2 linked regions of the Arabidopsis thaliana genome follow. The protein of the gene in region 1 interacts with the protein of each later gene in a pairwise test. Each region holds a gene or a part of one and is shown in the gene's direction. Other genes may lie near its edges.

Region 1 (4,476 bases):
GCTTCGACTGATATTAAGAAAAAAGAACAAGAAAATTGTAGGTACTGTATAAAGTTTTTACAGAGAAAAAAAGAAGAAGCAAACAATGATGACCCAAAAGCGAAATAGAATGTTACGGCTTTTAAACTCTGTGGCTGATGAAGCAAAGAGCAAAAGGTGAAGCGTAAAGGTGAGGTTAAGTAGGGCAAATCACATGGGAGGAACAAAAAAGGTAACAAAGTAATGTCTGCTAGTTGTTTTTTTACACCGTTTCTCGTTTGATAAAGCGGATATGAAATAATTTCATAAAGGGATATTTCGTACCTTTTCAATTATCCCCACATCAACTTCTCTGTCTATTGTCTACAGATATAAAGGGAGATATGAATAAGCATATATGGTTGGCTTCGTTTTTACTATGACTGAGGATGGTGAGAATTTATAGCCAATCAATTTTCTAAAAAGCAAATCATGTTATGGATTTTAAATATTCAATATAGGAATGATTCAAGTGTAAACATGGGACCTTATTGATAACAAACATAAGCAACCAAAGATAAAATACATACGTATTTTCAAATATACCACATAATCCATGAAATTCGATTTAGAGATCCCGATTTAGAGATCCATACATCTGCATGGTTTATAGGTTTCATGTACAACTAAAGCAAAATAAGCTGAAAGATGATTTTGGAGTAAAGAGCGTTTACTCTCCATAGTAGTAAATGTTGAATGTCTCTTTTGGTGTTCCAGTTTTCCAAACTTTAGCTAAATCTTAAATGATCATATTAACTTTCTAGTGGCATCCCAAAATGGCTGGCACGGGCCTGCGAGTAGATTAGTTGATAGTAATAGGAATTCTATCCAATAATTGATAAATCTCCAGATGACAATCAAACTTGAATATATAAACTATCAGAGATAGGTTCAATAAGAAAAAAAAAGTTGTGTGTAAGGACCCTGATGAGACAAGAGAGTGATCATAAGAAAGAGTTTTAAGTTATAACTGTTGAAAACTTCCATATCTCGATGCTTTGAATATTGATGTACTGTATATGACAAGATATCCTATCATTAATGAAATTCTTTCAGGTAAAGTGAAAAGTGAATTTCAATTCATGAAAAAGGAGAAATGGCTAATGTTAAGTAAAAATTATGAGGTTCATTAACCATAAAGGGTTGCACCAAATGGTGACCAAACCGCATAGTGTGATACGGTTCAAATAGTAACGAAAATATCTATATATATGTGTATATGTATATATTTTCGTTTAGAACCGTACCACACTTTATCCGCAGTTGAACCGCAAGTCACCATTAGCAAAAATATAGTTGCGTATTACTTAAAACCATTTTGTCAAAATACATTAAAGGTTTTTGGTTGCCCGAAACATGTATATTTTTATTTTAACCGAGGCCAAGAGTGATTTCTACGATGGCTTGATAGATCTATAAAATATACCAAAAGAAACCGAATCCTAATTACCATTGATTTCGAAATAAACAAGAACTGGTTTCCTAATTACCATTGAATTTTATTTTGGATTTATATATAGAGAAGATCTTCTTCAACAAAGACATTACACATATGCGGTGTATCTCGCAATAACTATAGAGAATCCTCTAAAATTGATAGATAATTGATATACAAGATGCCACTTTGAATTAATTACACAGAGATCTCTTCATCCACTTTTTGTAGAAAAAATCGGTGGCATAAACAAAACACTCAAAAAAAATCACAACCATAAAAGAAAACATTTGATTTCTTCCTCTTATCCTCAAATTCTCATAAAGTGTACAGTACACAATTCAACATTAAAAGTCGGAAGTATTTTTATCTAAAATTAGTACTACATATTGTAGTTTTTTTTAAGAAGCTAATCAAACATGTTTTAGATTGTTAGATCACACAAATAATTGTGTAGACTCATGACGACTATGACTTGACCAGTGATACAGCAAAGTAGGTTCCAAAGAGTCAGAAATCTCCTTTAATATTTTTTTTGAGGAACAAAGAAAAATATTCATTATTAAGAATTGAATTATGGGAAACACTTAAATGGTGAGAAAGAAAAATACTGAAGTCTCTCAAAGTTCCTAAAGCTTTTGGCAATATGATAATGGCGTGATACCTTTTTCTCTCCTCTCAACAAACGCGCCTCTAATCTCTCAATCTTCTCCAACTCCAATTTCTTGCAATTCACTCCAACTTCTTCTTCATCTTCTTCTTCTCTCTCTCTCTGAGATTCTAGATTTCGTTTCTCACGTTTTCTTCACCAAATATGGGAACCTGCTTCTCCAGCTCAACTAAATCCACGGCTGAGATCTCTCCCTTTGACCTCGTCGTCAAACCTCCTCCTCCTTCCGCCGCCGCCACCGCACCACCAACCCAACGAATCCCCACCGCGAAAACAGAAACATCGACGGTGAGCTTCACCGCAACAGTGAGATTATACGGACCACCTAACAGTCTAGTGACGTCGTATCTCCGTTTCGCTCTTCTCCACAAGAAAGTTCCGCTCCGTTTCGTTCCATCGGAAGACCAAAAACCGACGATTCAAGTCGGATCGGAGACTGTATCAGGTTCTCGAGAGGTTCTTCTCCGTTACATCGAGGATAAGTTCCCAGAGCCGCGTTTGATGATTTGGAAGTTTAATCTGGAAGGCTTCGACGAAGCGACTCCATTGATAGTGAAGATGATTTGGCTTCAGCATAGGAGTATGTTGTGGCATATGGAGAGGATGTTGAGATGGTCGGAGGATCTGGCGGCGCGTGGAGGTAAAAAAGCGGTGGATCCGTCTGTGGGAACACCGAAGATGGAGATTAGGAAATTTGCAAAGAGTTATACTCATTTACAGGAGCTTATGCTCGAACATGCTCAAATGGAAGAGAGAATCTTGTTCCCTGTTCTTGAATCTGTTGATCGAGGTAATTAAAGAGAATTGTTTAGGTTTAGGGAATGAATTTGATTATTGTTGTCAAATGTTGAAATTTTGATTTCTGTGAATTTGTGTGTAGGGATGTGTAAAAGTGCAAATGAAGAACATGGGAGAGAATTACCAATGATGAATGGTATCAAAGAAGATATCAAATCTATTGGAGTTTTGGATTCTGGGATTTGTTCAGAAGCTCTCTTTAGTCTTGCTTCTCGTTTCAAATCATTGCAGGTAAAGTTAAAATAACAATAACAAAAAGCTTCACTTTTGTCTGTTTTTGTAATGATTGAGGTTTTTGTTTTTGAACATAGATGATGTGTAAAACACATTTTGAAGAGGAAGAGAAAGATTTATTGCCAATGGTGGAAGCTGCAGAAATGGGGAAAGAGAAGCAGAAGAAATTGATGAATCAAAGCTTAGAAGTTATGAGTGGGACTCATTCTAACTCGTTTGATTTCCTACTAGAAGGTCTCACTCCACAAGAAGCTATGCAGTATATTGACTTGCTCATGACATTTGGTGATCCAAATCTTATCTCATCTTTTCTCTGCTCTGATGTTGTTGACTGATTTTATCCTTTTTAGGCTCACTTTGTGAAAAACTGTTGTTGTGTGTGGGGTTGTGAATTTTGTGTATATAGAGTCAGATTTGTCGATTCAGGTGTTGCTATGTTTTCTCATTCTGTTAAATTAAAAACAAAACAAAAATAGGTTATGTAACTCGTAAGAGGACGAGAGATGTTTCTAGGATGGTTATCCAAGTTTTCAGCAAGTTTTAATTCGATTATTATTTGATAATGGTGACTAATCTTCTAAGCGTGTGAAAACAATTGCCAATCATGGTTAGACCACAGGAGTAGAAGACTTGAAACAGATTTGTTCAAGAATTTTGATGGGCTTAATTTGTGTCGATTTAGAGAGGTTTGTCGATTACTCAAGGGTAATGCTTTTTCTTTTTACCTGTTTTATGCTTTTGGACTTGAACACCGACAAAACAAGGTAACAGAAAAAGTAGAAGAAGACTTGAAACAGAAACTAACTAAAAAAAGCTGAAACAGAAGAGGAAAAGCTGGTTAAAAGCGTATTTACACGATTCAGAATCCACTACAAAAACTACTTCGGCGGTCACAAACATTAGACCGGTCGTATTGCCAAAACTAACGACTCCGATGTCATCAACTTCTCTTTTCTCGTTTTCTCCTCTTATAATTTTAAAATCATTTCTTCTTTTAGGAATCTAAAAGATAGACGACAAAACAAAATGGAGACAAAAAAAAAGAGTGGATGTAACCTTTTTATGTGTTTGGAACGTCAAAATTGTTGGTTTCTCCTGAATCGAGCTGAATTAAATATGTACACAAATTCTTGGCTTCTTGGCTATGCTATTACCCGTTGAGCTTAGTTAAGAACTGGCTAAGATTGTACTCTTCTGTGTACTGTGATTGATCCCACAGTTCTTCTAAGTTTCCTAGAATTGCCTTCATTCCTTTTCCAGTTCCAGCAATCTGATCATTATCCTCTGATCCCTTCTTCGAAGACCCACCACCCTACAATAA
Region 2 (5,080 bases), on another chromosome or scaffold:
TAGTTCATTGGTCGATTAGTGGATCATCTTTTTTTTAGGATAAGAACTTACTCGTGTCAAAGTGTACATATCTCTCAACATGTTGGTGGAGAGAGCAAAGAGCGGTTTCCCGCTCAAACCACCTGTTTCTGTTGCCACGGGGTTGTTGCTTACAGCATCAGGCCTTGAGACTGTTGTATTTGATATGATCTATAGGACCAACAAAGACAGTATCATCATCATCATCGAAAGCTTTTATGATTTGCAACATACCATACGTACAATCGAAAAAAGAGACTATTCTAACACTTTAATCGCTTTTACTACACTACGTTAAACAGACTGGAGGCTTCATTGATTGACACTGATGTAACATAAGTTAGTTCATAAGAGGATAACTTACCAGCCCATCCAAGTGCAGAGCAAGAGCCACCTACACAAACCAATACAATGTTGTAAGAACCAATTACTTGAAAACTATAGAATGTGTTTTAGCTTTTTTAGTACTACGTACCGCTGCAATATCTTCAAGCTCTCCTCTGGACAGATCAGGAGCAATCTTCACAAGAAGAGGAGGAGGACCTTCATCACCCCATTGCATCTCATCCCGAGCAGCTTGAACCTTCTTTACAAGGTCCTTCAACTGTTTCCTTCCTTGAAGCATGCGCAGTCCTGCAGTATTGGGTGATGAAACATTGATCACCTGAAGAGAAAAATGAAAATTAGGAACAAAGAATTCTACGGTGGATTAGATCAAATTCATGTTCGATATATCATGGTAAGAAGTTTGTACCAAGTAATCAGCATACTGGGATAAGTTATGAACTCCTTGGACATAGTCAGCAGCAGCATCCTCACTCGTCTTGTTCTTTCCAAGGTTGACCCCAAGAATACCAGGTCCAGATTTTCCCCCTGGTTTTACATCATCACTTGGAGATGACGAAGTAGCTGATGTTTCAGCCAACATTCTTTTACCATGTTGAGCACCCAACCGCTTTGCAACGACAACAATCCCTTCGCTATTAAATCCACACCTATTGATAATAGCTCTGGGAGGACCAAAATATAAGTCTTTTAGTTTAAACTATCTTGCTTCTTCAATCATTGAAGGTCTTTTATAGATTAGAGATTCTCACCCTTCTTGGCTTAGTCTGAAGATACGTGGTTTCGGATTGCCTTCTTGTGGAACAGGAGTTACAGAGCCTACCTCAACAAAGCCAAATCCCATCCCTAGCAGTCCCTCAGTAGCCTCAGCGTTTTTGTCAAATCCAGCAGCAAGCCCAATTGGGTTTGAGAATTTCCTTCCCCAAACTTCAAGTCCCAAGATTGCTGGATCAGGCCTCTTTTCTCTAGGTACCCACCCGCGAGCTGCAGCTGAAACAGCCAGCTTATGCGCAAACTCAGCATCCAGAAGAGCAAAGAAAGGATTCACAACCTTTGTTGCGTTGAATAGCCACCCACTGTCCAACACACAAAATAGGTAAGAGGTAAAAAACAAAGTGACTTCCTCAAAGTAACTACAAGGTAGCCTTAGCAATGTCAACTAACAAAGAGAACAAAAAGACTAAGTTTCAGGGCACTTATTAAGTAAAGTACCAGAAGGTTGCTTCATCTGCAGTACTAACATAAGCTCCTCCAGCTATGGCCAGACCAATGGTAGCTCCTGTCAATATCCTTCCCTATAAATTTTCAAAGTCAAACACTTTGCTCTTGTAAAATGAAATAGCATCAATGATCTAACTCTACTACACCAATTAATGTGCCATATTCAGATCAAAACAAGAGTTGCAACTCCTTATCTTAAGGAATAAGATTCCAATATGATTCGAATAAACCAAAAATGAGATTAATTTATCAATAAATTCATCAAAGCTACTCACTCTCTTGGAAAAATGAGGGACTTTCGGTGCAGAAGAAGCTCCAGGAACCGAAGAACAGTTACGGGTAGCTCCAAGAGGATTAGACGAAACCCTTCTGAACAAAAACTCTCTCGCCCATTTCGCCGACGACGTCGCAGCCCTTCCGGCCATTAGGTAAGATGATTAAATCGACAGTGGAATCAAACAGAGTTCGAAAATGGTTGCTTTGAAATCTATAAGAAGAGGGTTTTAGCCTTCTAGCTCACGGCTTGAATCTTGATAGAGAGAAAAATATACGCTTTTTGTTTGTTGTTCGGTTACAAAGGATCGTCAGAGTATTTGCTAAAACCCTTGCTTCCTTCAGGTTGATCTTTCCGGTTCGATTTACCGGTTTAATGTAGTTAACCGGGGTAAAATCTTATATGTTAACCGGTTTGAAAAGAGATTGATAAGGAAGGCCCTTTCTCTGAAAAAGCGAGACCAAGAGTGCGAAGTAGCTCTCTGTCTTTCGAAGCAGAAGTGAGACTTTGACGACAACAGTGGGAGGAACTATGAGTTCTTGTGTTGTGACGACAAGCTGTTTCTATACAATTTCAGATTCTAGTATACGTTTGAAATCCCCCAAGCTCCTCAATCTGGTTCGTTTCTTTGTGTGACATGGAAATTGCTGTGGTTCTGTTTCACATGAATCTATCTCTTTTAAGCACTAAAGCTTTCAAATTTCGTTTCCTTATAGAGTAACCAGCAGAGAAGACGCTCTCTTAGGTCTCGAGGTGGTTTAAAGGTTGAAGCTTACTACGGTCTAAAGACACCTCCTTATCCACTTGTAAGTGCAAATAAGACTTTGGTATTTGTATTTGGATTCTAAGTGTAGTAACTATGTCTTGCTTCTGTAATCCAATTCTGTTCTCGACTAAGCACGGAACTGTAGAAAGTTTGTTAATTTGGGTGAATTGTCTTGTGAGTATAGGAAAGATTGTGTCTTGATCTGTGTATCTTCTATCTTGCAAAGTAGATGTGTCTTGATCTTTAGGGCCTTGGTGATATGTCAAAGAAGATGGTATAGTTGAGATTCTAATTAGAGTTAAAAACAAATGTGAATAGGATGCTTTGGAGCCGTATATGAGTAGAAGAACACTAGAAGTGCATTGGGGAAAACACCATCGAGGTTATGTAGATAATCTGAATAAACAGTTAGGGAAAGATGATAGACTCTATGGATACACCATGGAAGAGCTTATCAAGGCTACATACAACAACGGGAATCCTTTACCCGAGTTCAACAACGCTGCACAGGTACTTTATATTCTAAGTAACTTGTACATTATCACCCGAGGCACACACTAATGTTGGAAGGATTGATGATGATTATGTTGTTGTTTAGGTCTATAACCATGATTTCTTCTGGGAGTCGATGCAACCTGGTGGTGGAGACACGCCTCAAAAGGGTGTTCTTGAGCAGATTGATAAGGATTTTGGTTCTTTCACAAATTTTAGAGAAAAGTTCACTAATGCAGCTCTTACTCAGTTTGGTTCTGGATGGGTCTGGCTTGTCTGTGAGAAACTTGACTAGCTTTTCACTTGGTATTAAACTGTAGAATGACTTTGAAAATGGAAAATTTTGATTCTCTTTTTGTTTTTTTCTGGAAAATTTCAGTAAAGAGGGAAGAGAGAAGGCTTGAGGTGGTCAAAACCTCAAACGCCATTAACCCACTCGTGTGGGACGATATTGTATGTTAGAGTTTTATTAGTTAGTTTTCTTGTTGAACTTAATGTTACCTCTTGATCACATCTCTTTTGTTGTTACAGCCAATCATCTGCGTGGATGTGTGGGAGGTACACCATCTCCTCTCTTCTGTCATTCTTCCAAGAAACACTTTGAAACATTTTCTAATATCTTTCGTTTTCTTATCTTACTTTGCAGCACTCTTATTATCTGGACTACAAGGTAAAAACCTAGCTTAAATTCCGACCATTCTGTGTTCTTTTTGTTCGTTCAAAAGGCTAAATCAGTGTTTGTTTCTTTCTTTCTCCGGTTGCTAGAACGACAGGGCTAAGTATATAAACACATTTCTGAACCACTTGGTGTCGTGGAACGCTGCCATGAGTCGGATGGCCCGTGCAGAAGCGTTTGTGAATCTTGGTGAACCCAACATCCCAATCGCTTAAGCTAAACACAACTCCTTGGAAACTTGGGCAGTCTCATTTTTGCAAACAGAGGTCTCAAGTCCCAAGTCCCAACCAACAAAACAAGAGTTGCTTTCTGAATGTGACCCATCTTTTTGTTCTGTGTAATTTAGCGACAGTTTTCTCTTCTTTTGCCTTTTGAGAGACTCTCTAGCTTTAAGATCATCAGTGAGCCCTGTATGGTGACAGTAATGTTAGTGACGCAATTAACCCTTATTAAGTTATAATAAAACGAAGGCTGGCTCACGTGACCCGCACGTGACTGAGAGTATCCGTTTCCTCTTCTTTCTTTTCTTCTTCTTCTTCTTCTTCTTCGTCTCCTGACAATAGGGATTGACACCATCGTTCACTTCAACGTAAAGGTATAAACTTTCTTCCTCCTTAACGTCAAAGTTTCACGCGATCGTCTCTGTGGAACTCCCTCAGCATCGGGTAATTCCCTGATTTTCCCAACTCGCTCTCGCGGAAACTCTCGATTTCGATTGGGCTCTTGAGGTTCTGTTCATTTCCTCGTCTATGAATTTTCTACAATTGATTAGGAGTCGTGCCCATAACTGCGTGAGTAAAAAGGGAAAATTTTCTTAAAGATAAGCAATTTCAAGCTTTGTGTTCGTGAAATTTATCCTTGTATGAAACTTGCAATGCGATTGTTGTGTTGGTTGGTGGGTTTTCTGTAAAATCTCAATGTTCATGTAGGACCTGGGTTTTGGCAGATTCAGTGCCATAAAGACTGTAGTGTTAGTCCTCATATTACATTTGTATGGTTGCTAAATGGTCAAACTGATACTAGTATAACTCAGAGATTACAAGATTTATTTGGATCAAGATCATATGTTTCCTTGATGCCAAAACTAATTCATTGTTAAGATTCATAAAATCGAGTATATAGCGAGTTAACGTTTACTTGAATTTCCTCGTTCTTTATCCTTTGTAGGAGGTTATGCAGTTCTTGGATCCCCTGAGATTTGTTGTCAAAAACCAGCTTCCATTACTGATACACTATGCCTCCGTCTCATTCTCAGGTCTGTTGTAGTTCTTGAAACAAATTATCATAA

Evidence for each region. The genes of interacting proteins can lie anywhere in the genome.
Region 2: the proteins of AT3G54290 (region 1) and FSD3 interact in a two-hybrid assay, tested with the Arabidopsis thaliana proteins (one large-scale study listed by BioGRID).

Annotation. Positions count from the first base shown.
Region 1 is NC_003074.8:20,103,637-20,108,112, reverse strand, and holds AT3G54290 (hemerythrin HHE cation-binding domain protein), read left to right. Parts: upstream 1-1,897; 5' UTR 1,898-2,267; coding exon 2,268-2,913; intron 2,914-3,003; coding exon 3,004-3,152; intron 3,153-3,232; coding exon 3,233-3,490; 3' UTR 3,491-3,761; downstream 3,762-4,476. Other genes in the region: RGD3 (ROOT GROWTH DEFECTIVE 3), read right to left, coding at 3,960-4,122, 4,310-4,467.
Region 2 is NC_003076.8:7,848,235-7,853,314, forward strand, and holds FSD3 (Fe superoxide dismutase 3), read left to right. Parts: upstream 1-2,209; 5' UTR 2,210-2,389; coding exon 2,390-2,476; intron 2,477-2,574; coding exon 2,575-2,664; intron 2,665-2,942; coding exon 2,943-3,134; intron 3,135-3,222; coding exon 3,223-3,394; intron 3,395-3,495; coding exon 3,496-3,569; intron 3,570-3,647; coding exon 3,648-3,674; intron 3,675-3,762; coding exon 3,763-3,786; intron 3,787-3,881; coding exon 3,882-4,007; 3' UTR 4,008-4,300; downstream 4,301-5,080. Other genes in the region: PYRD (pyrimidine d), read right to left, coding at 52-189, 383-412, 494-682, 773-1,028, 1,116-1,439, 1,576-1,658, 1,860-2,009; STE14A (S-isoprenylcysteine O-methyltransferase), read left to right, coding at 4,966-5,047. UniProt on the Arabidopsis thaliana protein: Destroys superoxide anion radicals which are normally produced within the cells and which are toxic to biological systems. Plays important role in chloroplast development, particularly in the maintenance of thylakoids membranes.